Rhinolophus ferrumequinum: one gene and its partners. The protein of the gene in region 1 interacts with the protein of each later gene in a biochemical or structural test. Links are inferred from orthologs where the notes say so. Each region holds a gene or a part of one and is shown in the gene's direction. Other genes may lie near its edges. The genes, in order: UBXN2B, PPP1R7 and PPP1R11.

Region 1 (10,598 bases):
CCAAAAGATTAGCCTGGGAACCCAAGACCCTTTCCATCCCATCTCCAGGAATCAAAGGTGTCTCCCTCCTTTCAGGCCTCTTTCTCCAGTGTGTAAACAGAAAAAAATCCATTTTTTTCCTCCTTCCCTCACCTATTGCAAATCTAGCCATTTGTCAAACCAGATGAAAGCACTGGAGGAAAAAAAAAGAGGTTTTGATTTGAGACATCTAGATGAAAGTAACAGTTGAAAAGACAGTTGAAAATGCAGGTCCAAAGTGATGGTAAGAAGTAAGTATTGGAAAAATAGATTGGGGACTCCTAAATGTAGTTAATCCTCTATTCCAAAACTCCATCTTTGCAAATTCGCCTACTCAATAAAATGTGTTTGCAACCCCCAAATCGATACTCATGGGGCTTTTGTGGTCATTCGCGGACATGCACAGAAGCAAACAACTGAGTTGCCCCGTGAGCATGTTCCCAGCTGAGGACAAACAAGGAAAGGTTCTGCTTTCTTGTTTCAGCTCTTCTACTACAAATGAACTCATGGTCTATTTATGTCGCATTTTATGCATTTTTGTGCAGTTTGTTGGTGATTTTGCTGTGGAAAATGGCCCCAAGCGTAATACAGAATTGCTGTTTCTCAGTCCAAGTTCCTAAGTCCAAGAAGGCTGTGATGTGCCTTCTGGAGAAAATGTATGTATTAGATAAGCTCCCCTCAGGCATGAGTTATGGTGCTGTTGGCTGAGAGTTCATATTAATGAATCAGCAACATGTATTAAATAAGATTCATTCAACAAAAACAAGCATAAAACAAGGGTATATATCAATCAGTTGACAAAACTGTGCCCAAGACCTTGCAGAAAACTGACCCTGTATTTTTGGAGCAATGGTTCAGTATCCACTAATTCAGTGTTCTCGACAACTTTATAGAACATAACTACTGCAAATAATGAGAATTTTCTGTGTACAAATAGTATGTAGAAGAGTGGATGATACTGAGTAGTGAAAGTATACACAGTGAGAAAATAGAGGGCTGAAGACAGAATTCTAGGGAACACCACTACTTAGAGGGTAGACAGGAGATAAAATGTTAGGGGAGCTCAAAAGAAATGGTCAGGTAAGTAAGGAGAAAATGATGAGAATTACTTTGAGGAAATTACAGAAAGTGAACAGTTGTGAATGTCAGAAGCTGCAAAAAATCTTCCAGAAGACACATAGAGGAATAAAAGAAAAACATATACTTTAAAATAAAATGGACCAGAATTTAAAATTTAGTTCTGCTACCTCATAGCTGGGTGATATGATCATGGAAATTCATCTTATGTCTCTGGTCCTCAATTATTTCTTTTGTAGAATGGAGACAAATCCTAACTAGAAGGTTGTTATAGATTACAGAAAATAACATACTCGTATGCAACCCATGCAAATAAGCAAATATATTCTGTAAATATTAAAAAGCCAAGATTAAACTGTTTAAAGGATGAAATAGGGCCATTGTGTCCTACAACAATCTCTGATCATGGCTTCAGTGATGTTCCTGCATAAGTAAAATTATACAAGTGTGAGTTTCATTTAGGTTGGGCAGTTCAAATTGGATATTTATTAGTCTACGATGGGTAGGCCTGCATTTTATTCTTTCTTTGCTGATATACCTTGTTATTTCTTGACTTTCCATGAATGGAAAATGAGAAATAGTCAAACCTGCGTTTGAGTTATGATCCCTATTTCCTTCATTCGTTCACTTGTACTCATTAAAAAGTACATATTATGTCCCAAGTTCTACGTTAAGGCACTAGAGATAAAGACGTGACCAATGGCCTCCCTGATATTACAGTCTAATGGAAAGAAAACAATAAGTATAACAAGTATTAATGTTAAGTTTCCAGTTTAAGCAGCCCCAGAAACAAGACATATTATATGTTGAAGCAAGTGTGAGACAGAAATTCCTAGGAGATATTTTATATAGAATAACTTCCATGATTCTTAAACCCCCAGGATTACTTTGAGAACATAAAATAGTTAGAGGATAAAGGGAGAGTGAGATACTTGTGATCCTATTTCTTTGGAGAACAATGGGAAGAGGCACTATACGAGGTCTGACAAATAAGTTCACGAACTCATCCTAGAAAAAGTGCTTCGTACCTCATTGCTAAATATCACTAGTACTACTCCCCTTGGGAAGCTATGCACCGATACCAGTGCCTAGTCTACCCTTCAAAGCAATTTTGGAACTCTTTTTCTGGAATGGCAATCAGAGCTGTTGTCATATTACCCTTGATGTCCTGAATGTCATCAAAATGTCTTCCTCTCAATATTTTCTTTATCTTTGGATAAAGAAAGAAGTCATTGGGGGCCAGATCAGGTGAGTAGGGAGTGTGTTCCAATACAGTTATTTGTTTACTGGCTAAAAACTCCCTCACAGACAGTGTCGTGTGAGCTGGTGCATTGTCGTGATGCAAGAGCCATGAATTGCTGGCGAAAAGTTCAGGTCGTCTAACTTTTTCATGCAGCCTTTTCAGCACTTGCAAGTAGTAAACTTGGTTAATTGTTTGTCCAGTTGGTACAAATTCATAATGAATAATCCCTCTGATATCAAGAAAGGTTAGCAACATCGTTGCAACAAGTTCACCAAACTTAATTGTCTGACCTCGTAGTTTTCATCACAAGCTAAGAGAGGGGGACTTCAAAGGGACCATGTGAATATCGGTTGATATTTTTATTCATGTTAACAAGATGTAAGTGAAACAACACAAACATCATGATAACTGAATGATACATGAGCAACTTCTTTCTTGAACTGGCTAATAATTTTCAAATACAGGAAGAATATGTCCTTTTTTCCCCCTTTTTTGCTATTCACAATATAACAGCTAAAGGCATGGCATGCCTTTAAGTTTTAACTTCACTGTAGACATTTTCTCTAACACATTCTTAAATCTAGAGTAGACAATCAACAAAACAATAGATCAAACTCTTATTTGTGATGTTTTCCAATTTCTGAGGTATAAATACTCCCACCATGGTAAATTTCAAAATACCAACATGCTGTTACTGAATGCAGAGTTAGGAAGAGGTGTGCAGTAGCATATGGTATCTCCACCATTCAGCTACAATAGATGTAAATAACTGCAAGAGCATAAGTAATAATAAAAGGTATTGAAATGATTAACAAATGATTTTTGAGTATTTATTACACTTTTTCTAATGTGGTTTCATTGTAAGTTTATATAATTTTTAGCAGTGTTTAACAACTGCCTATGAAATTTCTGAAAATTTAACAATAGGCTCTCAGGAACCAGTATAATCTCAGGAACCAGTATAATCCACTGACTTTAAGTACATTGAAAACATAACCTTTACTGTCCTTACTGTCACTCTCAAACCATTAAAATATGGATTTTCCTTTCTATTAAATTAGTAGTAACCTTTGGAGCAGCAAACTCCTCTTCCCTTAATCCAGTGGATAGTTTCCAGTCCTACTCTTACTTGATTATCTGTGGGAAATTATACTTTTGGTCTCTAACTTGATACCAATTTGTCATTAGTTTTTCCAGTCTCTTCAGCCTACCTCTGACTAATCCTTAAGTTTACTTTGAATGGTCTCCTTTCTCCATTGAATCCTTCAGTGTTGGTGTTTTTTAATATTTCCGGTCCTCACATCTTCTTACATTTCACACAGCCTCTGCAAGCCTCATCTACCCTGCTGTCACTTGTATGCAATCAACACCAAATCTATATCTCCAAACCAAAATTTTCTCCTAGCCTCCTAATATCTAGACCCATATTTGCTATTGCTTCATGATGTATTTTTACCCTAGTGTCCCACATAAGTTTCAAATTCAAAATGGCCATAAAAGATGTTTTTTTCTTTTGAAGTTTACTTTGCCCTTTCAACTCAGTAATGTACAGCAAGCATTATTAACCATATAAGCTAACCAAAACCCTGGATGTCATTCTTCCTTCCTCCTTCCTTCATATACTCCCCATATATTCCAGCACCTACTGAGTCTGACCCTAATAGTTCTACCAACTGTTGCTTCTCTCTATACTCACTGTCACTGATACAACTTGAGTCCTAATTATCCTTCATTGTTGTAACAACCCTCTAATTTCCTAACTCTGGGTCATCTTACACAGGGATGCCTCTGTGATCTTTCTAAATCACAAATCCTTTAAGGGCTCCCAATTGCCTTAGATCAGTGGTCCTCACCCACTACTGTACAACAGAATCATCTGGGTAGGTTTTTTTCAACCAACTTTATAAATGTGTAATTTACATATAATAAAGTGCATCCACTTTAAGTAGATAGCTTAGGATCTTTTGACAAATGTATATACCTGTATAAGTCCCACCACAATCAAGATATAAAACATTTCCATCACACCAAAATGTTCCTATATGTCCTTTTTTAGTCAAACTCCCCAAGTTTATCCTTCCCCAAAGAGATAACCCCAAGCAACCACCAGCTTTCTGTCAGTAAAGGTTAGTTTTGGCTGTTCTAGAATTTCATGTAAATTGAATCAGACAATATTTATTTAGATAATGTCGTTGAGGTTCATCCATGGTATGTGAAGCAGTAATTTATTCCCTTTTTTACTCTTGACTAGTATTCCATTGTATGAATTTATCAAAATGTTTCTATTCATTTGCTGGTGGGCTGCTTTCAGTTTGGAGCTATCATGACTAAAGCTTTTCTGAACATTTAGCCACAAATATTTTGTAAACACATGTTTTCATACCTCTTGGATCAGTATTTAGAAATGGAAGTGCTGGGTCTCGTGATAACTGAATATTTAACTCCAGAAGAAACTGTCTATTTTTCAAAGTGGCTGTACCATTCTCCATTCCCACCAGCACCGTATCAAAGTTCCAGGCAGAGAGCCATAGCAAATACAGCTCGTCTTGCTTGTTTTCCTCTCTGGGATATCACAAACCTGTACTGCCTGTTATTCAATGTCTGAAAACAGTTGTTTCATATTTTTATCTAGTTTTTCAGTTGTTGAGAGTGGGATGGCAAGTCCAGTCCCAATCACTGACAGAAGCAAAGTCCACTTGGGGAACTTCTTAAAAAATTTGATGCTGAGTTCCACCCCATACTAATTAAATCTGATTTCCTGGTATGAGGAGAGCAGATGAGGGGTCCTAACGTGCAGCAATGTTTGAGAATCACTGGCCGAGAGTGTAATGTTTAACGTCTTCACTAGGGCAAGATCCTTCAAAACCTGTCCTCAGCCTACATCTCCAGTCTAAATCTTCCCATAACCATCTTGTCATTTCCCTTAAGCTTCAATCATGTAGTACTTTATGGACCTGAACATATTTCAAATTTATGCCTTTAAATATGGTTCATTGTGGTCCAAAGTCTATTGGAAGTACTTATCCTTAAGATTCAGCCAAAATGTCATTGGCTCTATGGGACATAAAGGAGAGCCAGGGATTTCTGGGGCAGAATGCTGTATTAAAAGGAATACTGGGACGACAAATGCAAGATTTAGTATCTGGTACTGTCATTTACAACTGGGTGAAATTCAGCCATCATCTGGTTTCCTCGGGTATAACACAGTATTAACAATACTTACCTGGCAGAGGGATATAAGAGATTACACACGTAATGCACCCAACATGGTGCACATAGGAGGCGCCAACAGAATATTCCCCTCCACACTCCCTATTCCACGCAAAGCTCTATTGCAAATTGCATTCTACTATCTATTTACACTTCTCTTTTCCCCACTAGATGGTAAGTTTTATATTGAGCGGAACTACTTTTTACCTTTGCATCCAGGGGGCATAAAAGTGACTGGATAAGACAGGAGCTCAAATAAATTTCAGATGAATGAGGAGGGTTTTGTAATTTCTAGTTCTGATTGCAAAGAGCATTTACGGTGTTCTTCATTCTCAACACCAATTCATGCTTTGGGGTCGACGTGCCACCCAATCCTTGGTAGGGAAGACGAGGGAATTTGCCTAAGACTAGAAAAGTACATTTGCAATTTTGACCAGATAAACATCCAAAGGACGTTCTCGTTGTTGAGTTAAAAGAACTTGCAAGTCTATGCTGCCCTCTAGCGCGGCCTACAGCACCTTCAGGCGGAGAAAAACACCAGGCTCACGTGGAAGCTTCTCCGGGCAGAAACTCTCTGACCCAATTCCTTTCAGGGAAAAAGGGAGGTAGGACAGGTGGGCTGGTGCCGGAAGTGGAGGCGCGAGCGCGCGGAGTCCGGAGAAAGCGGGGCGTGCAACGACCGTCTCCCCTCCCCATCCCCCGCGCGGTTGCCAGGCAACCGACCCCGGAAATCCCGCGAGGTGCGTTGGCTGCAGGCGCCCGCACGCGGGTAAAAGATGGCGGAAGGCGGCGAAGCGGAGTCTGCGGAGGAAGAGCGGAGGTCATCTGGGCCGCGGCCCCCGAGCGCTCGGGATTTGCAGGTGAGGCGAGCGGCTGAGGGCGGATCGTGGCGGAGGAGTGAAGGCGCGGGTCGGGGCGTGTCGGAGGCTGCCTCTGGCCTCCGCCGTGCCTTCCCCAGACCCAATTTGGGGACAGAATTGTGATTTCCCGCTCCACAAGTCTCCCCAGGGCGGCGCAGCGTACAGTGGTGTTCGTGGAAACAACTGTCCGTTTGCTCTCCACCCCGTTTGCAACTTAAACAGCTGCCCATTTAGAATGGCATTTTGTGGGGTCAGTTCACAGGTTGATGCTTCCTTCAGGAAACTTGCCGGGGAAGAAAGCTTTACTATGCTGCGGGGAAAGCAGCGGTCAGTTGATATAACAGGTGTACTGGTTTGATCTTTTTTGTCTTGGATGCTGTTTGTCTTGAATACATATACTGGGGTTGCCAAAAAAATGTATACAAATGGACACTTTGGTCAACATTGCTCAAGCAGTAGTTCCCTGTAATAAGTGTCTGGACACTGATGGTGACTACTCTGAGCACCTCTTGTAATTGCGGAAGTCAAATGTGACTTGTATTCATTTTTTGTTACCAGTATATATTGAGTGTTAACAATTTTAAGAAGTTTTTTCCTTTCTTAAAATGTGTGTGCATTTTTTTGGCACCCCCAGTATATACATATATATATATGTATGTATGTATATGGTTCCTTTTTATCAGGTTCCTTTTTCCTTAAAAAGGTTGAGCTAAAGTATTCCATCCTACGCTGCACAGTCTACTTGTAAAAGCTACAGTCTATAAAACAGTGCACAGGAGGAACGGGGAAATAAAGCGTTATAAAGTTATAAGATACCAACATTAGGTAGCTAAATAGGAGTGCTCCAAATTTTGCTTTATCAGATGTTTAACACTACTTTGCTCAATTTAGGCTATTTTTTGGTCTCCTTATAAGGAGCTGTAATTAAAAATAAATGACACTGAATCCACAGCCTTGGTAAAAAAAAGTTATATTACTTTTAGAGTCACACCTTTATTCTATTCTGAACATACATATTGACCACCTGCTATGTAATGTACTGCTAAGCCCTGGGGAATGCAGAGATAAATAGGACATCAAATCCACAGTTGACACTGGTGCTGGACACTGTTGAAAGGGGTAGAAATGTAAAAGGCATTTCTACCTATTTTTTGCAGAAATAAGATATGAATATATTTAACATAACATTTTAAGATGGAGTATGAATGAGTCCCCAAATAAGCAGTGGATATAATGAGGAATTTGGAGAATGGAGAGATCACTGTCAGGTTAGGAGTCGCAGGAAATACGGAATAGTTTCAATGCCCCTAGGTCAATTCAGTAGTAGTAAAGAGACTCAAGGACTGGGAAACTATCATCTACTTCATCTTTTCTGTTGTAGGCCACCATCACTAAGTGGCAACAGGAGATGTTGGGGGAAAAATGGAGTTTCTGGTCAGACCAACTTCAGTTTGCATCATGGTCCTGCCACTTAGTAGTTGTGTGAATATAGGAGAAATGTCTTAACCTCTCTCATCCTGATTGTCTTTATTTATAAACTAGGGGTGATGTTAATGGTGTCAAGGATGAAATAAAGTAATGTCTTTAGGTGCCTATGCTCAAATACTCCCATAGTATCCTGGCCCATACTTGCTTGGTAAATATTTGGTTTCTTTTCCCTTAAAAGAGAAAAGTACTATATAACTCACTGGTTAGTCCATTGTAATGCCATTAAAGTTAAAACTGTGTAACTTAATAATCTTTCTCTAATTTAAATCCATTTCTTTTTATGTGAACAATAGGACAGTTTGGTTAATGATCACCTGATAGTTGACAAATTTACAGACAATCCAATGGATTACTGTATTGTGCCGTGTGTAATGCGCACACACATTTTTGGCTCAAAGTTTCAGGGGAAAAAATTTTTCATTTTAATTTTTTAATTCAAATTTTTATTTGTTTGCATTTAGGTACGTGTTTTTTGTATTATAAAGGACTTTAGTATTTATTTTTAATATAGTACAAATAATTGTATGTAACAAGTAATTACAAAACACAAGAATATACTGGTACTAGAAATTTTATGTACCAGTAACAAATGTATGATATTTACACATCATAGAAGGCCAAGAACTCTTCATGGTTGCAAGTTCGTCATAAGTTCAACAAAATCGAGTATCGTATTCCGGGTATTAGTTTGAATCCGGATATCGTTATTGATTTCTGGAGTTACACTTTTAACTCATAAGTATAAATAAAAAAATTAAAAACACTTATATAGATACGGAATTAGTACTACCCAGGTATAATGCACATCCTTATTTTTCCCTCATAAATTTGGGCAAAAAAGTGGGCATTATACATGGCGAAATATGGTAATATATGATTAATGAACAGAGATATTCTGGTAGATGGCACTAATGAGAATGCCTTTGTTTCCACTGTCACTTAGAAGAGATTTTTTTTTCTGTCTATCTACTTTCTGGTAAGTACGTTAGTAACTGATTTTTTCATGAATGTGAGTTGGTATATCAAATACACTAAGTATTGATAATCTTTCCTTTAGAATTTAATAAGAATGTGAAGAACTTTCAAAGAAACCTGAAAATAACAAGTGATGGCATATGAAGAAATAGAGTATGTATCAAAAGTTTAGAAGAATTGATTAAAGTTCTTCTGCCTGACTGGTTTCTTGGATATTGATTATTTTTGGATTATTTTGTTATTGTTTAATCTAGCCATGCTTATTTTAAGTTATGCAGTAGTGCAATTTGCAGTAGATACTTGTTACTTTTCTGACAGCTTGCTCTGAGAGTCAGTCTGTTAAGGTATTATAGAAGAAAAAGGATGACGTATTACTAATTGGAACAGCAAAAGGTCTGCTAAGTACGTATATCTTAGCTGCCACATGATGTAGGGTTTGTCAGCATCTAAATCAGGAGAGATTTCCCCGTTTCTCAAAAGGGGAAAGATGGGTAGTTGTCTGCCAGAAAACCTCCCAGCTCTATGAGCCTCTGATTTTCAAACTGCAGAAATCTGTGATTATTAAACCAAGAGTAGATCTTAGGTCCCTTCATTCCTCCCAAATTGGGAAACATTCTATGGGAAAGTTTGGGATGGATTTGTTAGTGACAAAACTAACCCTGAAAGCCTCACTATTCATTATATTTCTGAATATTTTCAGAGATCTTTGTCTCTTCTTGTGCCCCTCAATCCATCCACACGCATGGTTTTAACTAACAGTAGGTTAAGGTATTTAATCACCTTATGTATGCTTTTGTCCCACTTCCTCCAGAATAAGATCCAAAGAAAAATATTTCTGTTCTAAATTCTGTATTTCCATATAGGTTGGAGTTGAGGGGGGATTGAGATTATCCTCAGTACTTATTAGGGTTAGGATTGGGCTTTGAGTGGGACAAAGAGGGAGTTCTATAAGTGAAAAAAGAAAAAGACTATGATACTATGTTAAAATTGCCACAAGCATTCTGATCCTGTTGGGTATCAGTATTCTGTATCGTTGGTTGTCAATTTTAGTGTGCATCCCAGACAGCAGAAAGACTTGTTAAAGCACAGGTTGCTGGGTCCAACTCCAGCCCCAGAGTTTCTACTTCAGTAGGTCTAGGGTGAGGCTTGAGCATCTGCATTTTTCAAGGGTCCCCATGTTGTTGTTATTCTGTATAAATCAATATTATACCTTCTGGCTGTTGTCACTCAATGTCTGAGAATTCCAGTACTTTTAATCTTTTGTTGTACACTTGATTTCCTCATTCTCAATTGCCTTAACCTTCAGGTTTCTTTACATGTTCTTCACATTTCAGATTCTAGAGAAAAGATTATCAGTGCTTACATACATACTTTATTCTCTCTGTGTAATTGAAATATCTTCATAATCTAATTGTTTCACTTGTGGAACACTTCTGATAATTCATAATGCATCATTACTTCATAATGCACATGTTTTTATCTCTTTATTTGACTGAGATTTTGTTGTTTTTGTTCTATTGGTTTTCACCAGTACTTCAGTTTATGTTGATCCGTTTAAATAATTATTTCCTTTGCTGATGTGGTATCATTTGCTATGTCAAATAATGTAAATTAAATTTCTTTGTAATGTCTACTAATGAACTTATGCTATGTGATGCTACAGGGAGATCATGACTCCTGGCACTAATTCCCTGTAAATATCATTCATTTTCCTCTATATTAATAAT
Region 2 (10,086 bases), on another chromosome or scaffold:
GAAACTTCCTCAACCTGCTGAAGGCGCACATGTGACAAACCTGCAGTTAGCAACACACCTGGTGGGGGGAGACTGAACACGCACTCCTGGGGTCAGGGGGCGGAAGCCACTCAAGCCTCTTCTATCCAGCACTGTCCTAGAAGTTCTAGCCAGGGCACACAGGCGAGAAAAAGAAATGACAGGCGCACACACGGGAAAGGAGGGAAACGACAGGAACACACATGGGAAAGGAGGGAAACAACAGGCACACACACCGGAAAGGAGGGAAACGACAGGCGCACACACCGGAAAGGAGGGAAACAACAGGCGCACACACCGGAAAGGAGGGAAACGACAGGCACACACACACCGGAAAAGAGGGCGTACAGCTGTCTCAAGTCACAGAAGACATAGAAAATCCTAAGGATTCATAAGAAGATTACCAACCCACTCTTTTAAAAAGGGGGTGGAGGATAAAGGTTTTAAACAGACAAAGAAGGCACACAAATCACGAAGAAGCACAGGAGAAAATGTTCGTCATCACTGTCACCAGGGAAATGCAAAGGAAGCCCGCAATGAGCTATCATGACAACCACCGGGGCAGCTAAAATGAGAGAGAATGGAAGTACAAAGGGTTGGTGAGGGGTGCAGAGCTGGGGCCCTCAGATTAGTGGTGGGGACACACATGGCACAAGCGTGCCACTTGCCCTAGGACACAGTGATTGCACTCCCAGCCATCTACCTAAGAGAAAGGAAAGCACGAGTCCACAGACTCCTATACGGATGCCAAGTACAGCATGACTGCAGCGAGCTGCAGCCTGGAAACCATCCAAACGCCCGTCATCAGGAGACCAGACATGCAGACTGAAGAGTATCCACACAAAGGCCTCATACGCAGCAGTGAAAGGGGATGCAGTGACACAAACAGCGTTGTGCATGAATCTCAGAACCGGCACACTTGATGCACGCTGGCACCAGACACAAAGACACCTCCTGTAGGGTCCCATTGACGCGAAACACCAGAAAATACAAACTTGATTTACAGGGACAGAAAGCAGAGCAGGACAGGGCCATGGTGGAGGATGGACTGAAAAAGAGCATAGAGCAAATTCTTAGGGTGGCGGAAATATTCTGACTGAACTGTGCTGTGACTACATATACATCTCGCTGAACTAAGTACAGACCATGAGAGCATTTTATTGTCCATAAATTACATCTCAATAAAGTTAACTTTTAATGTCAATGGGTGGGTAAAAGAGGCAGGTAGCTACAGCTGAAAAAAAATTAGTGAATTGGAAGATATTTTTGAATAAAGAGCCCAGAATGCAACAGAGAAACAAAAAAACAAAACTATGAGAGGAAAGTTAAGAGACGAAGATGAGGTAATCTAATTCGTAACTGGACAGAGAATGGAAAGGAAGAAACGTTTGAAGAGCTAAGAGTGGACAATCTTCGATAACAAAAGAAGAAACCCACCGATCCTGGACCCCGGCCGCACACTAGGTGTTGAGAATGTCTGCTCACAAAACGTGTCATAAAGAAAATGAGATAAGTCACAATGTGGGAGAAGATATTCACCACGTGAATAACCAACAGATAACTAATATCCAGGAGATTAAAAGGTCAATAATTTAAAATTTAAAAAATTTTAAAAGACACACAGCCCAATAGAAAAATGGACAAGAGACAGGAACAAGAATTTCTCAGAAAAGGAAACCCTCGCGGCCAACAAGCAAGCCTATGACAACAGGCTTCTCTGTTACCATAATCGTCACAATTTTATACCTCCTAAATCAGCAAAAATCAAGAATTCTAATGACACCAAACATCGATAAAGATGCGGCTCAAGGGGAATTCTAACAAATGAACCTCTTTAGGAAACAACTTAAGTCAAACATTTGCCTACTCTGACAGAAATTCCACTCTTACATTTATATTCTATAGAAATTCTTACACATGGGTAGCAAGTCAAACACAAGAATGTTCAGGACAGCATGGTTCACAATGTGAACAGAAAAAAAGAAAAAATAATAAACCTAAGCATTCAGCAGCAAGAAAATAGATTGTAAATTCTGTTATGAATTATAGAGTGAAAAAAAATTCTATGCACACTACAAGGATAAATGTTGGCCCTATAAAAAGTGAAAAAAACCAAGTTACAACAAACTATCAACAGTAAGGCTCCCTTTTTATAACCTCCCCCAATCTAAACAAATCCTTTAGGGTTACACCCACAAGTGATAAACTTCAGGCAGGAGGTTTCTTCTGTGGGTCCAGCAGCAACCTGGAATAGCACAGGGTCCCCTGGTTCCGAATTTGGGTGGTGAGTTTAAATGAGTTCACTTTACTGTCATGACTCATGACTAATATTGCATTTCTCCTTCTGTATGAATCAGCTAGTATACACTAAAATATTAAGATGTTTTATACAACCAACCTATAGACAAAGCACAGAAGACTTGACTAGTTTTGGACTACATTGTAAATGTTACAAAAGTTCACTTTGTAATATAACAAATGGGAGAGAAGGGAAGGTAATGTGAAGGGAGGATAAGGACAAGAAATGTCATCTTTCATGAAAACAAGTCAATAGTGCCGACAATTGATCAATCAAGAAGTGGATATGGGGGTGGCCGATGGCTCAGTTGGTTAGAGCAGCGAGCTCTCAACAGGGTTGTGGGGTCAATTCCCGCATGGGATGGTGGGCTGCGCCCCCTGCAACTAAGACTGAAAACAGCGACTGGACTTGGAGCTGAGCTGCGCCCTCCACAACTACATTGAAGGACGACGACTTGGAGCTGATGGGCCCTGGAAAAACACACTGTTCCCCAGTATTCCTCAATAAAAAATTTTAAAATTAATTAATTAATTTAAAAAAAGTGAATACAGGAAGGACAGGTCCTTTTCTCTCTGTGCCGTGGGGGGGGGGGTCCCTCCCCGCCAACTCAGCGTTGCACAGCAACTCCACACCACAGGGACGAGGGCCTCCCACGCCATGGCCAGAGGCTGGCTGCTGACAGCACAGCCTGGCTTCACATCACCTTAGGTCATTTCTAAGAGGTTTGCAGGGAGCTTCTGGAAAGTACTCCTTCCTCTCATGGGTGAACTTCTGGATGCAACCAACCACCTTCCTGCCACCAGACCACAAGCCAGGTAACAAGCAGCTCCAACTCTCCCACCACTGCTGTACAACCACGAGTAGAACCAGCCTCAGGGTGAAGCCAACATGGCGGGCAGAAGAGCAGAAAATGGCAAGAATGCCACGTGGGGCACTGGATACACCCACCCTAAAACCAGCCTTCCTCGGGATTTCAGGTTTGGGGGCCAACAGCTTCATTCACCATTAGAGCCGTTCTGAGACTGCACCTCTGTTTCTGGCATCAGGCATCCAAACAATATCCGGGATGAAGGATATTGTTTTGGATTTGTTGTAACGGAGGGTGTCAGCAAAGGCTTCCTCCAGGGAACACTGGCAGAGCTGAGCCTGGCACTGTGAAGAAGCCTTCCAGGCAGAACCACCACAGGGCAAAGGTGCCCACAGCGCCCTTGGGGAGGAGTCCACACACAGGAAAGTAGGTGGAGATGGGCCTGGAGCAGCCCAGCACGACTCCCAGGGCCTCCTGGGCCTCCTCCAGGAGTCCGGACTGCGTCCCTAACATTGACTTTAAAGAGCTCCATGCTCGGGAACATGACCAGATGCCCAGTTTACAAAGGTCACTCCAGGGGCAATGCTGGGGGGAGAAGGGGGGAGAAAAGTTACAGTAATCCAGGCAAGGTATTAGCAGGTCTTAAAATAAGCGATGTCAGAAAGACGGCCAGAGGAACCGCCAAGTCAAAACTCGACCTATGGCTGCCGTCGACTTACTGGGTGACGAGAGGTGCAAGGTACGGGGATGAGGGGATGAGGAGCATCAAGCCCACACCCCAAGGTTTCTGCTCAGGCCACTGCCATTCTCTGGAAAAGAAAAGGCGAAGGTGACGGACAAAGCCCAGGTATTTGGAGGCCTCCAAGCGGAGATGTCGAGAAGCCGGGCTGCACCCCACAGCTCACGCATTCAGATATTTACTGAAAAGTCCTGCATAACAGGCACCGTCCCCAGCATAGAGGAGGGCAGTCTCCATTCTGGAGTTCACCTTCCAGGAGAAGCAACAATAGTGACTACAAAGCGCACACAGTTAACTGCAGCTGAGGACTGAGCGCCGGGTGGGGTGGGGCCGGGGCGCAGACGCTGAGGACCAGAGAGGCTCCGCCCAGGGCCCCAGGGCGCGAAGCGGCACAAACCGCCGTTGGGCGCCGGGCCGCTACCCCGGCGGGAGTCGCACGGAGAAGCGGGCAGCGGCGGGGGCACCGGGCTCGGATTGGTTCGTCCGAGGGCCTCGCCGGGGTCGGGCAGCAGGACCCTGCGGAGCCCGGGTCGACTCCCAGGAGCGCAGGCATCTCACCTGGGGACGAGTCAGCCGGCCGGTTGCTTCACCCAGCCGCGAGGAAGCCGATCTTCGCCTCCAGCCCCGCCGGCCAATCGCGGAGCAACTCACGCCAATTGACAGGCCCCATAGGCCAACCACTGGCGCCTGTGGGCAGGACTCAACGAGCCGGGGTGGAGAAGCCCGCGCTAACGGTTGCTAAGGACGCACCGGACTCCTTCTACGGCGCCTCCGAGGAGCCAAAAGAGACGGCGGCCCGCCAGCCGGGTACGGCAGACACCGTTTCCTCTGGTCTTGGGATCGAGAAGGGTGAGCAGCGCGAAGCTCGCCTCTCAGCAGCCTCGCCCTGGAGGCTGGGGCAGCAGGGGCGGCTCCCTCACGGGCCAAGCACACCCGCGGGGCCGAGGGCCGACGGAGGTTGCGGCGCCCGCTGTGGGTGGGTCGGCGTCCCGGGCCCCGACCGGCTCTCCCGGCACCTGCGGGCGGAGTTCCTCCCCGGCCCCGGCCCTGGCGCCGAGCCCGTCCCGCGCTGAGCGTTAACTGGAGGCGGCCCCTTCACTCGGACTAAGTCCGCGCGGCGACGCCGAGACAAAGTCGGCCCATTGTACAGACGCCTCTGCGGAGGCCCGCACTTTGCAGCCCCACGCAGAGACTCGCTACGAGCCCAGAGCATCTCCCAGATTCTTCTCTCCGCTTGCCTGCAGCCACTGCTCCGTGCGTGCAGCCCCAACTGCCCCAGTCCTCCTTCCCGCTCCTCGCCTCCAGACGCCTCCGGGGCGCTCTCAAATTACCTGCCCGGGGGAGGTGAGACGGCCGGCGCGGAGACTGAGGGCGCGCGACCTCGCGGATGGACTACAACTAACCGTGAGGCTCTGCGGCCGCGCAGGCGCGTCGGGGCTTCAGTCCCCTCCGCTGGGATTCCATTGGCTGGGTGAGTTCTGAGTTGGGAGCCCTGATTGGCTGAAGGGCCTGAGGCGACAGATTCCGGAAAGGGGAAGAGCAGCCAACATGGCGGCTGAGCGCGGTGCCGGTCAGCAACAGTCGCAGGAGATGATGGAGGGTGAGCGGCCCCACAGGGCGGTGGCCGAAAGGCCCAGCAGGCTGGGGGTGGCGGCCCGCACCGACCTTGCCCGAGAGAAACGGGGCTGCCCGCCTCCGACCACAGCCCGGGCCCTGCCGTGCGGCCCCTGACAGCTGCCAGCCGGTTCGGAGGGGCGGGGGCGGGGGCGGCCCTGGGGGCCCCGAGCCAAGGCGGCAGCGGCCGGGAAGGCGCGGGCGGACCGGGAGGCGCCCGACCCAGGATCGAGGGGAGAGCGGCGGCATGAGCGGGGTGGGCGGGTGGGTGGCTGGGGACTGACGGCGCCGTAGTCCCGCAGCGCGGGCGTTCACCCTCTGTTTGGAGCCTCGCACTGAACCTCTGAGCCTGACCCTCGGGGTCCCCGTGCAACTAACGAGGAAACAGGCGCAGGGCGCCGTGGGAACTGCCCGCGCTGGCTCATTAGTGAAGGCTCATTTCGAGAAGGGTCCTCTCGAAAGCGAATGGGTTGTGGAGAAGGGGGTGACAGGGAGCCGAGAGACTGTTACAGAACAGCAGGTGCCTGTTTGCAAAGTTATCACAGTTAGGAGAGGACTAAATTCAACTCTTTCACTTTGTTGAAAAAAATTATATGCATATATGTGCATACGACTGTACACACACACACTCAATTGGAGAGTCAGTTCTATCACAATACTGATGTGCTCTTGGCTGCGCTGGTTTCATGGGGGACACAGAGCTCCAGGAGAGCAGCCAGCCACTCGAGTGTAAATGCCGGTAAGAAGGAAGCAGAAAGGGTTGGAGGTGGGGTGCCATAAAGGAAGAGCTGGCGTACTTAGCAGTGAAGGCGGCACAACCAAAGCTCCAAGTTGGACCTTAAATGTTCGGCCAGGCTGGGGGTGGGGGAAAGATCAAAGGTCATTTCAGGGGAAGAAAACCACACAGTCACAGGCAAAGGGCTGTGAGAGATCCAGACCTGTTTGGAGGAGAGCTTGACCAAGGATGACAGTCATTTTGGATGAGGGTGGAGAGTGCCAGTGAAGCTGGCAAGAGAAGGTGGGGGGTGGGGGGGAAGCATTTGAAAAGTCCTGGACTTTGAAACCCTTGGATCTTTTTAAGCAAGGAAGTGCCTCTTCCTGTCCCCTTTTTCTCTTCCTCACCCACCAACCACTTCCATGCCTTAGTAAATGACAAACGAAAACCCCAGGCATTTCTCTCTCTGGACCCACTCATCCATTGGTCAGGAAGCTCTGACGCCTCCACTTCCTTAAAATCTCCAAATTTTCAAACGTCTTTCGTTCCCACTGCCAATATTTGAGCCAGCCCATTGACCCCAGGGCCTCACATGGTGGTCCTCTGTCACTTGCCCCATACTCTGCAACCCTCAGGATAGAATCCCAGGTTTCATGTTGGCTGCTCTTCCTTAGCTAAGCCCCTTCCGCCCTGGGCCGAGCCACATCCATAACCCAGTAGAACTTGCTCTTAGCCTTGACCACAGAGTGCATGGAATGGCAGTGCAGGCAGGTTTCCGCTGCTACCAGTATCTCAAAGTAGAACGTTCCTATAAAACCTTTCAAACCCGAAACGGCATAAATCAAAGAAGCAGTTACCTTAGGACATAACTTACTGCAGATGCACAAAATTGAGATAAAACATAGATGCTCACAGATACAGTTCAAAGCTATGTCAGCTCGATGCTGAGACGCTGGGTGTAGGTGCCCTGGGTCTAGGCTTAGTGGTGCCACTCACTGGGGTGTGTGCTGCCTCTTTTAGGGCTCTCTGCAAAACAAAACAATGCTATTTTCACTTTTCACGTTTTTTTGTAAAAACTAAATTCCTCTTCAGATTTCTTTCATTAGTGATAACAGGTACGAATATAAGTCTTTCTTAAAAATGAAGTGGTGTAAAGTGAACTTTTGAAAAGCAGGGGTACCTGTAACTAATTAATTGTGTACTGCTTTTATTTATTAAAAGCTAACTGCTTTTGTGCCTTATCTAATTTAATCCTGACAGCAGCCCTGAGATATAGTTACTATACCAGCTCCCTTCTGCAGATTTGGAGACTGAGGCTTGGAAAAGGAAGTAACTGCCAAAGCTGTGTCTCTAGGGGCAAGATGCAAAGTCAGGAAGAGCCATTGGTATTCCAGAAATTTTGTGGAGTCACAGATCAGATTTGGGTTTTAGAATCAGATCAGACTCTGGCAATGGAGAATAGATTAGTCAGGGCCAGACAAGCCACAGAGAGACCAGTTAGGAGGCCCAGCAGGAGCCCAGGCCACAGGTGAGGAGTAGCTGAGCCGAGGCAGTTGCTGGGGGCAGGGAAGAAGGAATGGATTTGGAGGTTTTGGAGGTGGGTTCCATAGGGACGTGTTTCATCCAGCAGTCCTTTCCTGGGTGCTTCCTCACTTGGCCCAGCGGGAGATACAAATTGGAACTAGACCGTCTCCCTCTCAAAGAGCACGCTCCTGTGAGATAAGCTGTAGTCAGGAAACTTGGAAGCTGTTAGTGCCTGAGGGCTTCCAGACAGACTTCCAAAAGAGGTCATGAAAAAGTTAGGAGAAAGGAAACTTATCTGACAGTTTTGCCAATGAATTTTTATCAGTCTGCCCCATGTAATCATTGCCGTGTTTATTCGAAAAACATTATTTACCAGCCTTTCAGAGCTTTGAGCTGCCATCACTATGCCCTGGTGTTAGTTAGCATTGTGACCTTCTCGTGGGGCATTTAGCACTATTGGCTGTCTTCTCCTGTCTCGTTAGAGCCCCCCCACCCACAGTCTGATTTGAGTTAGTCTTAATTTCTTTCAGAACGTGGGCCTGTGAACTGGGCTGGTTTTCTTGGCCAAATGGATAGTGGAGCATGGATGAAGGTATGTGGCAGGAGGGTCACAATGGTCCCCTCTTCGCAATGTGCAGGCTTCGCTACGTGTCAGCATTAGTATGTTTAATGAGACCATCCAGGGCTTTCAGGACACCTGGCGACTCTTCAGGAGGCCTTGAGGGTAGGAATAGTATGATGCTCTCCCCTTGCCGTGTGCCTCCCCGCTCTGCCCCCCGCCCCACCCTGCCCCCAGTTCTCCCACCACTACACTTCAGGCAGTGCCTGGGGCCTGGAGGACACACAGATGCTCATTGAGCTGAACTCAACACTTTTTTGAGTGAAGTCTTTGTGACTCACAACTGGATGTCAGTCTGTTACAAGTTCTTGAAAGAGTCACGTGAAGTGGATGGGAATTCTTACTGATCTGTGTGGGTTCAGTTGACAGGCGGGTCGAGTCTGAAGAATCGGGCGATGAAGAGGGGAGGAAGCAGAGCAGCGGCGTCGTGGCCGACCTCAGCGAGCACAGCCTGAAGGATGGAGCGGAGCGGGGGGAGGAGGACCCACAAGGTACCGGCACGAGTCCTGAGCCTTGAGCTCACCGAGGGGGTGGGTGAGGGCAATGTCGTGCGGATTGCCAGGTGGCAGCCTCTGTTGTGCCTGGGGAGCTCCCTGGGCTCCGGGCGTTGCCTGCTACCACAGCGCCCAGGCCCTCGGCAGGCTGGGAATGGTGGACCTGTAACTTGGGCGCGCCATTGGCCAGCAGGCATAACGGCCCTTGCAGGCAGGATGTGGTTTTTTCCTAATTCCACTGAAGCCAAATACTACTACTGATAATATTGGTACTGGTGCGTCATCTGGGACAGACCCCAAAAATTGATTTATTAACCATGTGCTCAGAAAGTGAGATTTGAAATAAACATTATGGCTGACTACTCTGCTTTTATTTCCTGCCATGGTAACAGCCTACTTTCAGAATAGCACTTTTAGTGTCTTAGAGAAGTCAATTCTGAGCCCTTCTTCACCATTTTACAGACCTAGAAAGGACTTCTTAATCGCTAGATGTTAGGAAAATCATTTTATGTAGAAAATGTCCCAATGGCCTCCTTTAGTGAAAAACAGCAAAAGGAATTTAGAGAAAAGTAAGTCCTCAGCCCGAATTGGTAGTTTTTCACACACTCCAACCATGATCTAAGCCTGTTTGTTTGTTTGTTTACAAAATCAATTTATATTGAAAACAATGAGGAGAAACCATATGAACAGACAGGAAGATGTCCAAATATATTATTAGGTGAAAAAAAGCTAATTTCCAAACAGTATGCATGTTGAAATCTTGTTTTTATTTAAAACATATTAATAATATGTGGTTTTACCTACTTAAGAGAAAATCACATCAAACTTGTTGAGGGTGTCTGAACAGCAGGTTGGTAAGGGTCTATACCTTCTGCATTTTCTAGATTTATATACAATGTATGGATTTTTAAGGTAGTAATCATACATGACCATTTTTAACAAATTTAGAAAAAAACAAAACTAATTTTTAAAATAACATTGTGCTCTCTGTGCCAGTGAAGATGATTGGTAACTATGGAAACCTAATTTTAAGGCAAAGGAGATTACCACAAAAGTACCCATCACATTTTGGAACTTGAGAGTCGATATTCTGGAAGTGACGTGGGCGGGCTAAGTACATGGGAGTGATAGATGAAAGCTTTCATTACTGTCTAACTTAGTCCCAGAGAGCCACGCGGTGGGAGCGTCACCTTTCCTCACCTCTGAACATCTGGTACTTGTGGAGGGACTGGAGAGTTGCCGGAGCCCCAAGGTGG
Region 3 (10,586 bases), on another chromosome or scaffold:
CAGGGGTTTACTTTTTGCACTGAATAAACAATTGTTTCTTTTGGTCCCATCCATTTCTATACAGTTCAAGAAATAATAGGGAGATTTGTGGTCGTTTTTATTTTTCAAAATTACATGTATCCTTTTACTAGCCAGTGAACTAAACCTTTTAAGATACTTAAAAGGAAATGAAAAATACAGAAAGCCAGTATTGCTTAGGGGTTAGCATGTTATGTGGGAATATTCCACTGCACTCAAGGAAGTTGTACTTGGGAATTAGTGGAGTATGATTTAAAGAACATGGGCTCTCTGATGATTTTAGGAACTCCTCTTTGCCTTTGGTGTTCTGCAGTTTCATTACAATTTATCAAGATGCGGTTTTCTTTTATTCATCCTATTTGGGATTTGTTGAACTTTTTGAAACTGAGGATTGATTTTTCTTTTTTCCCATCAACCTGGGAAAGTTATCAGCCATTATGTCATTGAATATTGCTTTTCCCTCATGACCTCAATTCTCACATTCTGGAATTCTAATTAAAGAGCTGTTTATTAGACCATCTATCCTCCATTCCTCTGTCTTTCATATTTTCCATCTCTTTTTATGCTGCTTCTGGGTAATTTCTTCAGGTCTCTCTTCCAGGTCACTAATTCTGTCTTCAGTTTATTTCAATTATTACGTTAAATTTTTTGAGTTCTACTTGATCATTTTTCAAATCTCAGTCATCTTAAAGAATTCCTGATTCCTTAATCATCTTTTATTTTTTAATTTTTTATTGGGGAGTGTTGGGGAACAGTGTGTTTTTCTAGGGCCCATCAGCTCCAAGTCAGTTCATTGTCCTCCAATATAGTTGTGGAGGATGCATGCAGCTCACTGGCTCATGTGGGAATCGAACCGACAGCTCTGTTGGTAAGATCTTGTGCTCTAACCAACTGAGCCACCTGGCCGCCCCTGAATCATCTTTTAATTGCACTTTTTATTCTTAAAATATTTATTACGTGTAAATATATTAAACATGGCTATTTATAGTCTGTCTCTGATAATTCCAGTACCTAGTGTTTTTCTGGGTCTGATGCTGCTGTCTGTTATTTCTGCTGACTTTCATGGTGCTTTGTTTTGTGATTTTTGACTGTTCGGATTTTTTTTAGAATTTGAACTATGGGAATTCTTTGAGGCCTGGGTTGAATGCCATTGTCTCAGCATTTGTGTATCTTGTTAAGGTGCCTTGAGGCACTACCAAGACAGAATCACTTTTAAATAAATTCTTGGCTTCAGGATTTTTTGGACTACACAGCTAGTATGAATCTGAGCTGCAAATCCATGTAAGGACCAGCTTTTTCTTTCTCTACCTAGTGAGACAAATTCCCCTTTTATAGAGTTAAATTTGTTTTTTTTTTTCCTATTCACTTTTACAGAGGGGTAGCCCCTTGGAGGTCCCAAATTTATGCAGAATATCTATCAGACATTGTATTACAGGTTTTTCTTTTGTTCCTTCATATTGCTGTCAAAACAGCAAGGGCGCCATCGTAGCAGGGGCTTCAGTTTTACCTGTTTAGTTTCCTGATTTTATATCATTTTACCAGTGTGAAGATTGCCTTTACTTTCTTGCCATCTCATCAATGGATTAAAAAATATTTATTGTTAGATACATCTTTTAAGAATATTTTCCCTAGTCTTACCTATTTATTTTCTTAACTTATTTTTTTAAATGAGCAGAAGTTTTTGATTTTTATCAGGTTCAGTTTATCCTTTTTCCTTTATGGCTACTGCTTTTTGTGTCCCAAGAAATCTTTGCATACAAGTCTGACAATTAAGTTCGTGAACTTGCCACCATGTGCTTACACTGGCAGCACTGTACAAACAGCTCAGGTTTGATAACCTTGGTACATCAGTGTCTCACAGCTGTGTTTGTGTCGACACGTGGCAGTATCTTGCTGAGTGGCATTCATTATTGTTGCATGTTTTTGTGTGCCATCGTGAAAATGTCTGAGCTTGAATTAGAGCAACGAACAAACATTAAATTTCTTGTTAAACTTGGCAAGAATGGAAGTGAAATCAGGGACATGTTAGTCCAAGTTTACGGGGATAATGCCATGAAGAAAACAGCAGTGTACAAAGGGGACTGTGTACAAAGCAGTGTTTCTGAGGGGAGAGAACGTGTCACAGATGAAGAGAGGTCAGGGCGGCCAGTAATGAGCAGAACTGAAGAAAACATTGCAAAAATTTGTCAATTGTGCGTTAAAATTGTCGGCTGACTGTGAGAAGTATAGCAGACCAAGTAAACATCAATAGAGAAACAGGAAAATCTTAACTGAAAATCTTGACATGCAAAAGGTGTGTGCAAAAATGGTCCCAAAGCAGCTCACTGATGAACAAAAGCAAAGGAGAGTTGAAGTTTGCCAAGACCTTTTGAAGAGGCAAGACGATGTTTTGGGCCTTGTTATCACTGGTGATGAAACATGGGTGTACCAGTACGAACCTGAAAAAGCATCAAAGTACACGATGGAAGTCAGCCAATTCTCCACCACCAAAAAAATTCCATCAGTCCAAATCGAGTCAAAACAATGTTGCTAACCTTTTTTGATATCAGAGGGATTATTCATTATGAATTTGTACCAACTGGACAGTTAACCAAGTTTACTACTTGCAAGTGCTGAAAAGGCTGTGTGAAAAAGTTAGATGAAAATGATCTGAACTTTTCACCAACAGTTCATGGCTCTTATGTCACGACACTGCACCACCTCACACTGCACTGTCTGTGAGGGAGTTTTTAGCCCAGTAAACAAATATCTATTGGAACACCCTCCCTACTCACCTGATATGGCCTCCAATGACCTCTTTCTTTACCCAAAGATAAAGGAAATATTGAGAGGAGAACATTTTGATGACATTCAGGATATCACGGGTAATATTACAACAGCTCTAATGGCCATTCCATAAAGAGTTCCAAACCTGGTGTTGGTGCATAGCTTCCCAAGGGGAGTACTTCGAAGGTGACCATAGTGATATTCAGCAATGAGGTATGTAGCACTTTTTCTAGGATGAGTTCGCCAACTTAACTGTCAGACCTCATACTTCAAGGTCATAATTTGTTAGATATATTTTTAGTACCAGCAGTTTTAGTTGGCTTAAAGTTGAATTGTTTAGGGGAGCTAGACTTCCACAGTGTCATAAATAAAAGTCCTTCCTTGATTATTTGAGTGTATTTCATCTTTCACTGCTAGACCCTCTTTGGTCAAATACAACAAAGAAATCCTTTCTTTCTCCATAGGTTCCAGGAAAAAGAAGACTCTTGATTTTTATTTTGTTTTTCTGGGCGACTCAACAACCCCTCCCTCTTCCTTGGAAGGTGAAGGGTATTGGATTCTTAGACCCCGTGGCGATCCCCTGGTTGTAATATTTGGCTCCCAGAAGAGAAGCAGATCATCATGTGGGGATTACCATTGTGCTTATTCTTATTCCTAGTTGAATTTTCCTATTAAAGTTATATTTTTCTATAAGATTGAGACATATGTATGTTATTTATAATCTGTCTTGTTCCAAAATGAATTTAAATGAGCTTATAGATACATTTGTTCTTTCAACAAATATCAACTACAAAAAAGAGTATAAATTAGTACATGAGAAAGAAAAAGGACAAAAAAAGGAGCCAGGAATGAGGCTAATATGAAAAAGCAAACATAACTATTTCCTCACTATCTAAATCTATTAGTTCCTCAGTTTAGGGAAATAAAAATTGGGAGTTTGAATAGTGAGAGATTCAACAGAAAATTTAACCAGATCTATTCGATGTGTAAGTTTTTTTTTTACCAGACAAAATAGACTATTTATTGCTTTTTATAGTTGACATTCAATATTATTTTATTATTAGTTTCAGGTGTATAGTGCAGTGGTTAGGCATTTGTATAATTTATGCAGTGATCCCCCTGATTAGTGCTCACCTAGCACAATATTTTATGTGTAAGTTTGAACAACAAAAATCTGATACTAAGGGATACCAGTATGTACTTACTACAGGTGGACATTTTGGAAATATTGTTATTGCTCTTGAGATAAATAATATATATTTACTGTAATAGATTCATATATAGAAAGAAAAAGTAAAAATTACAAGGAATCCCACTCTGCAGAGATACTTGTTTTTTTAATGGGCTGAGTTCTATATATGCTGAGTTCTAGCTTGCTTTTTTCCCTTTGAACCAAAAACTTAAAAGAGAAACAAACATATAGTCCAGGCACAATAACCATATTCAAATTTTAGTCTGGGAATCAGTATTCCTGCATTCCTTGGCTTAAATGGTGATCAAAGGATGATATTAATAATAATTATCTTGCAACGGTGTGGTCCTTTATGTATTCAGCGCGCTCAAGCACACACACTCTTGTTTAACTGCTCAGCAACTTGGATGGATGAGTAGGACAGTCTTCTGCATTGTACATTTGAACTGTTCTGGCAGTTGACTTCCTTGCCTCACTCCTGAAATCTGAAACAAATATGTTCATGTTTCTACACTACTCTAAGCCTTTTCCTGGCCCACAACACTGGCTGGATAAAGTCCAAATTTCTTAGCAAAGCATACAGGGCTTCCCATATAACCACGCCTACCTGTAAAGCCTCATCAGGCACTCCACTTGTATCCCAGCAGTACCAAACTTAATTTCCTTCAGTCCATACACCTATGACTTTGTAAGTTCCTTTTACTTAAAAAATTCATTGGTCTGTCTTTCGGTTCCCTTTTGTCCTGCAGGGTGTCCGGCGGGGCCTCTGCTCCCGCTCCCCACATAAGAACGCAGGACATGGTGAGGCCAAAAAAAAAACACCCACGGAGCCATAGGTAGGGGAGTCATACCACTGTATTCTCGCTGGCGGCTGGGTTGGAGAAACAGGAAACAGGAGCCACTCAATTCTCAACCCTCACTGCACCGCTTGCAGGCTCAGCCACCATCTTCTTGCTAGCTCCCTTTTTCTGCTAGCCTAGCCACGGCAGTTATATTAGTGCCCAATGGCTCACTGGTTACAGCTGACGGCCAACTAGCCACAGCTGATGGCCATTTGATCACAGTCGATGGCCATTTACTACCTGAGCCAGCACCTTTCTATGTGACGCCGAGAGCCTGGAAACTGCTTTTTGGGGCTCTGTCCCCACACCTTTTTACCCACTCTTTTTCTCCCTGAGAAGCATACATTTTTATCATAGCAAAATTGGCCTATAATTTATGACCACGTCTTTGCTTAATTTTACTCATCTCTACCCCAGAGTTTAGGCAGTATGCAACTAAATTGAATTTCACAGGTGAGATTTATATCTATGTTAATATCCCAATGTCTTATTTTTTTGTTAGTCCTAAGCATGCCAATCTTTCCCACTAGACTGGGAGTTAACAGGAAGGTTTCATGCGCGGCCATCTTAAAAGCCTAGTACAATGACAGGAAAAAATTCGAGTTGAACGTGAACGCCCCACTCGAACACTTAGAGGCACAGGACGAGTACTAGAACCCAGGTTCTTAATCCGGTGTATTTCCAACTGCACTTCGGTCCCCTTTCTGTAATTCCTATACGAAACAATAAGGAGGCAACAATGGACCATTATAAGGTCATTATTATTGCTCCTCAGTTTACGCGCCATCACACCCTCCCAGGGGGTGGGGGGCATGGGCTCAGCTACAAGATTCCGCACCCAGTCTGCGAGCCTAACCCGGCTCTAGCCTTCGGGACCGCCCCCTCCTGCGTGCCGTGCGTGCGCGAGCTGCCCTTGATCGCCCTCCACCACTGCAGTGACTCCGCCAACTCCTTGCGGCGCCTGCGCACTGTGACCTTACGACGGAACCAATCTGGTGACGCCTGCGCTTTGACGCAGTGCAGGAGACGAGAGGAGGACTACAGACTGCGTCACACCCGGAAGCGGAGAGCCGGAAGTGGGGTTGGACAGGTTATTCCCCGGGGTAGAGAAGCGGAGGCCTAGGAGGAGGGGGAGAAAAGAAGGTGGAGGATCCTGGCTACTACTCTGAATTCGATACCGCTTCTCTTAGACCTCAGAAACACAGAACGAAGGAAGGGTGTCTCATCCCTTCCTCCCCTCCTCCCTTTCCTCAGCCTTAGCCATGGCCGAGGCGGGGGCCGGGCTGAGTGAGACCGTCACTGAGACAACGGTTACCGTGACAACCGAGCCCGTGAGAAAGGCGGGGGGCGGTGCTGTTTAGGATCTGGGAGATACCGGGAGGGAGGGGTTAGGGCTTCGTGGAGTTGCTGGAGGGGCTGGGCTTGGTGACATGGGAGGAGTGGGGTTGAATATCGGGTTGGGAGAATCGCAAGGTCTTGGGCATATTTGGAGTGGCAGAGGTGGTGCAAGGCTCGGCAAGCGACAAGTAATCGAGTTAGGATGTAGGTGGTGCTGCTTGGGGTGGTGTGTGTATAATTAATGAAAGAATGGGAAGCTGGGGTTTAAGGAACAAGGGAGGTGCTGTGTAAGAAGATGAAGGCTGTGTAAGAAAGCATGGTTGGAGGCCAGCTGTAGAGGAATTTGACGGGAAGGATACTTATTAAATATTTGTCGAAGGGATTAATGTAAAAGGAAGCAGAATGAGGGAACCAAAAAAAAAAAAGAGATGACGATAGTATTTTGAAAAATCAGAGATGTAAATAAAGAAAGAGTAACATATTTGCAAAAACTAGATTGTTTTCAAAGGGAGGTTATATTGGGCTTAATAACACTGGATTAAGGGAGTTTAGAATAATTGTTACCAGAGATTTCTAGGATGCTAGGGAATAGGTGGATAAGAGGTAGGAAGGGCAGGGCTTGAGGATGAGAGAGGTGAGAATGGAGTTCTTTAATGGGTAAAAGAATAGGGAGTCTGGAAAAAATAAAGGGAAATCACAGATTAGGCATTGGGACTGAGAAAATAATTTTTATGTAGTAATACCACTAAGGATAATTTGGGGAGGAAGACAGAAACAGCAAGGGTTATATTTTCCTTTGAAGATTTAATGGGACCTTCCCTAGGTTAGGGATTGTGTTTTCTCTGTATACTAATAGTTATCAAAAACAGGAAATACTACTTCATGATTCCTCAAGGAGGTTAAAGACCTGTTCTAGTTCATCTTCTCCCAGCACTCAGCTCTTCTGGTGCTGTGTCTATGACACTGATTGAGCTGAGACAGGGCAGAGAGTAGGCCCCCAGGAGAGAGTGGGGATGGTCAGTACGAGGGAATTACATAGGTATGCCCAACTCTGTTAACCTTCCAGGAGAACCGGAGCCTAACCATCAAACTCCGGAAACGGAAGCCAGAGAAAAAGGTGGAATGGACGAGTGACACTGTGGACAACGAACATATGGGGCGCCGCTCATCAAAATGTGAGTAATTGTTGCCCACAGTAACCCTGCAGTTCTGGCTCCCGTCTGCGTACCTTCTACCTTCTCACATCCACTTGTCCTCCTGAAGCCCCCAGATGCTCACAGTCCTGTCGCTACCTGGGTGGTTCTGTGGCATCAGGGAGAGGAGGTTAAAGTTAGAGGGAAAAGACATAGGCAGGGGCTCAAATTGGGATGTGCCAAGGCTTGAAGGCAAGAGGTGTCAGAGGTGGAGAAGTGGAGCTTTGGATCCTGGCTATCTGAAAGGACAGGGGGTGGGTGGCTGAGGCCCCAGGGTGGGCCGGGGAAGCTGGATCCTGGAAGATAGAAGGAGACGATGGTGGAAGTAGCCATTTTTACTGAGATCCAATGGGAATGGAACTGAGTGTACATCTTACCCTTCCTCCTTTTTAACGGGGCTCCTCCTCCCAAATCCAGGCTGCTGCATTTATGAGAAACCTCGGGCCTTTGGCGAGAGCTCCACGGAGAGCGATGAGGAGGAAGAGGAGGGCTGTGGTCATACACACTGTGTACGGGGCCACCGCAAAGGACGGAGTCGTGCAATCCCCGGACCCAGCCCCACCACCCCTCCCCAGCCTCCTGACCCCTCCCAGCCCCCTCCAGGGCCAATGCAGCACTAAATTCCTCTCTCCCCATCATTCCTGTGTCTGTCTGGCCCTGAATGTTTTCATGTGGCTACTTGGGGACTCAACCCATGGTTTGATCCCTTTTCCCCGCCCTCCCCCCCCCTCTGGTTGATAGAGGGAAGAAGAAGAGGAGGGTGGACAGAGATCCTGGAATTCTGACTTGCTGCTATTCTAGAACCCAAGCTCCTGGGTTCCCCCAACCCTCCTTTTTCTTTCCCTCCTCCTCTCTCCAGGGATCCAGGCATCTTGGTCCCAGTCTCTTCCCTTTGTTCTCACTGCCAAACTGCCAGTCCTGGGATCCAGTTGTCTTGGCCCCCTGCGCTCTCTACTTGAGTCCCAAACACTTAACTTGGGTTTCCAACAGCCCCAGCTTTCACTGCCAGGGTCCCAGTCAGATTCCAGGCAATGTTGCCCCAGCTATGCTTGTTACGGCTGGCTTAGAGCTCATCCACTTATGTATTTATATAGTCCTAACTCTTAGTCCTTGCCTGTGGTATGTGAGGTACTATGGGAGGGCTCCCAGCCCTTCCCCTCCCCTCCTTCCCACACCCCTGACCCTCAAGAGGAGTTAGGAGAGAGAGAGTTCTTTGTCATTCTCACCTTTAATGGAAAATGAAAAAATAAATAGTCATGTCCTCTCTCTTAACCTTTCTTATGTGATCTAGGATTTCTGACAAAGCTGGCTTCAAGAGTAGTCTTCCAGCTTTGGAGACAGATCCGACCTAGTCCCAGGGGCCTGGGTTCCTGAAAGAGGAAGGAAAAGGGAGCAAAGAGATGGGGCTATCTTCCCATCTCTTACCTCTTTCTTCTTAGGCTTTCGTGTTTTTGCCAGTCCAGATGTCTGACTCTCTTGGCCCTCCCCTTCTTACTGGGATCTAAATATCATTCCCCAGGACTTTTGCCGTGCACAAGTGTAGAGATTGGTCAAATCCATACCACCATAGAGATCTCATTTATTGCCACAGATGCACAAAATAAATAACCCAACATCACAAAACGTGTTAAATACGGGCCCATTTATACACATGGGGAACAATGTGAGGGCTATATACAAGGATGGATTGGGGTGTCTGGGCCACTCCCTGGTTGAGGAAAGGAGAGGTAGCACCATTGGTTCCTTACTGTGAGTATGTGCAGGGGGAATTTAAAGATGGTTCTTAATGGGAAAAATCTATGGACATGGAAAGAAGTCATGGTGGGGTATGACCCCCCACCCCCCCAAAAAAACCCCACATTATTAACCTTCCTAGAGAGCCCTAAGTCCCAGACAGAGTCAAGCCACTTGATTTTTAGGAAGGTCTTACTTCCCTTGAGAACCTGCGAGTGGACAGGGCAGGAAAACCCAATCCTTAAAACTAGGGAAGGCGTTGGGCCCTTTGAGACTAGGAGAGGCACAAGTGGGAGGTAAAGATTTGACTAGGAGGGACTCTCCGTAGTAAACATGGGCCCTTTACCAGTTCTGATGAAGCAGGTGTGTTCCCTAACTCAGGCCCGAACAGTGTAAGGTACCAGGGGAGTGAGCACTTGGGGAGTGCTGGGTAGCTGCTGGGGGAAGCGTTCCTCGAGGTATCACAAGAAGTGGGCGGGAGGGGCGGGGAAGGGCGAGAATGGGTCCGGCTTTGGGAGTGGATGTGAAAACTGGAGGCCAGTTGAGGTCTTAGTATTTGGGAGAAGAGAGACATTGTGGGTGGGTGGGAGTGTTTATCAACACTCGGGCGGTTGCGGGAGTGTGGACTCGATGCCTGGAATGAGGAGGGATTTCCGAGCACAAGAGGAAGCAGCCTCGCTGTGGGCCAAACTAGAACGAGGTTGTGGGCGAGTTTCTCAGCCTTCTGCTGGCACGATGCGCAGTGGGGTGCGGGGGTCTCGGGTGCAGAGCAGCGGGAAGACGCGTTCCCCTAGGGGGCCAGGTGCCTGGAAGGCAAAGAGCAGGTCGAGCGAGCGGCCGTCATAGAAGGCCACGCGGCCCCGCTCCCAGTCCAAGTCCACCCGAATCCGCCGGGGTGGGGGCCCAGCGCCGCCCAGCGGGGTGGGCTCTGGTGCCGTGAGTGCCCACAGGCGGCCACCCCGGCCTTCCACGGCCCACACGGCGCCCGCGGGGCACAGCCCAACACGGCCCTTGCGTCGCACCGACTCTCCTGCCGCGCCCAAGGCATAGCGACTCTCCCCATCGTCCTCATCCTCCCCGGAAGAGCCTCCGCAGGAGGCAGAGTCCACGGTCTCCACCTCCCAACAGTGGCGGCCAGCCTGGAAGCCCTGCGCGCCCAGCACCGCTGGGAGCTGATCGAAGCGCGCTGGGCTGTCAGGGGGCGCAGGTGTTCCTGGTGGGGCCAGTCTGACAGTGCGGCAGTCCGCAGAGATGAGCAGGCGGCGGTGTGCGGTGCCAGGATCCAAGGTCAGGTCGGCTGGGGAGCGCAAGACAGAAAGGACCAAGTGAGAGGGGTTTCGGAGTCAGTCAGAAGTAGGATAGGACAGAATACGTGGCGGAGGGCACTTCAGAGGCCCCACAACGGCTGGAAAGGTGGCTGTGGCACAAGACAGGGTAAAGGGACATGAAGGATAGCCCCAGGCAAGACCCAACTGATGCATGGATAGCCCACTTATGTGGAAT

What was found.
Region 2: the proteins of UBXN2B (region 1) and PPP1R7 form a complex in vitro, tested with the Homo sapiens proteins (2 studies listed by BioGRID). The link is inferred for Rhinolophus ferrumequinum from reciprocal best matches to the Homo sapiens genes UBXN2B and PPP1R7.
Region 3: the proteins of UBXN2B (region 1) and PPP1R11 form a complex in vitro, tested with the Homo sapiens proteins (2 studies listed by BioGRID). The link is inferred for Rhinolophus ferrumequinum from reciprocal best matches to the Homo sapiens genes UBXN2B and PPP1R11.

The regions. Positions count from the first base shown.
Region 1 is NC_046297.1:20,235,543-20,246,140, reverse strand, and holds the start of UBXN2B (UBX domain-containing protein 2B), read left to right. Parts: upstream 1-6,192; 5' UTR 6,193-6,324; coding exon 6,325-6,408; intron 6,409-10,598. UniProt on the Homo sapiens protein: Adapter protein required for Golgi and endoplasmic reticulum biogenesis. Involved in Golgi and endoplasmic reticulum maintenance during interphase and in their reassembly at the end of mitosis.
Region 2 is NC_046291.1:513,044-523,129, reverse strand, and holds the start of PPP1R7 (protein phosphatase 1 regulatory subunit 7), read left to right. Parts: upstream 1-5,348; 5' UTR 5,349-5,412; coding exon 5,413-5,464; intron 5,465-8,247; exon of another isoform or gene 8,248-8,299; coding exon of another isoform or gene 8,300-8,309; intron 8,310-8,698; coding exon 8,699-8,827; intron 8,828-10,086. Other genes in the region: PASK (PAS domain-containing serine/threonine-protein kinase), read right to left, coding at 1,014-1,053. UniProt on the Homo sapiens protein: Regulatory subunit of protein phosphatase 1.
Region 3 is NC_046286.1:692,343-702,928, forward strand, and holds PPP1R11 (E3 ubiquitin-protein ligase PPP1R11), read left to right. Parts: upstream 1-5,869; 5' UTR 5,870-6,080; coding exon 6,081-6,149; intron 6,150-7,222; coding exon 7,223-7,331; intron 7,332-7,766; coding exon 7,767-7,969; 3' UTR 7,970-8,154; downstream 8,155-10,586. Other genes in the region: POLR1H (DNA-directed RNA polymerase I subunit RPA12), read left to right, coding at 3,249-3,273; RNF39 (RING finger protein 39), read right to left, coding at 9,800-10,380. UniProt on the Homo sapiens protein: Atypical E3 ubiquitin-protein ligase which ubiquitinates TLR2 at 'Lys-754' leading to its degradation by the proteasome.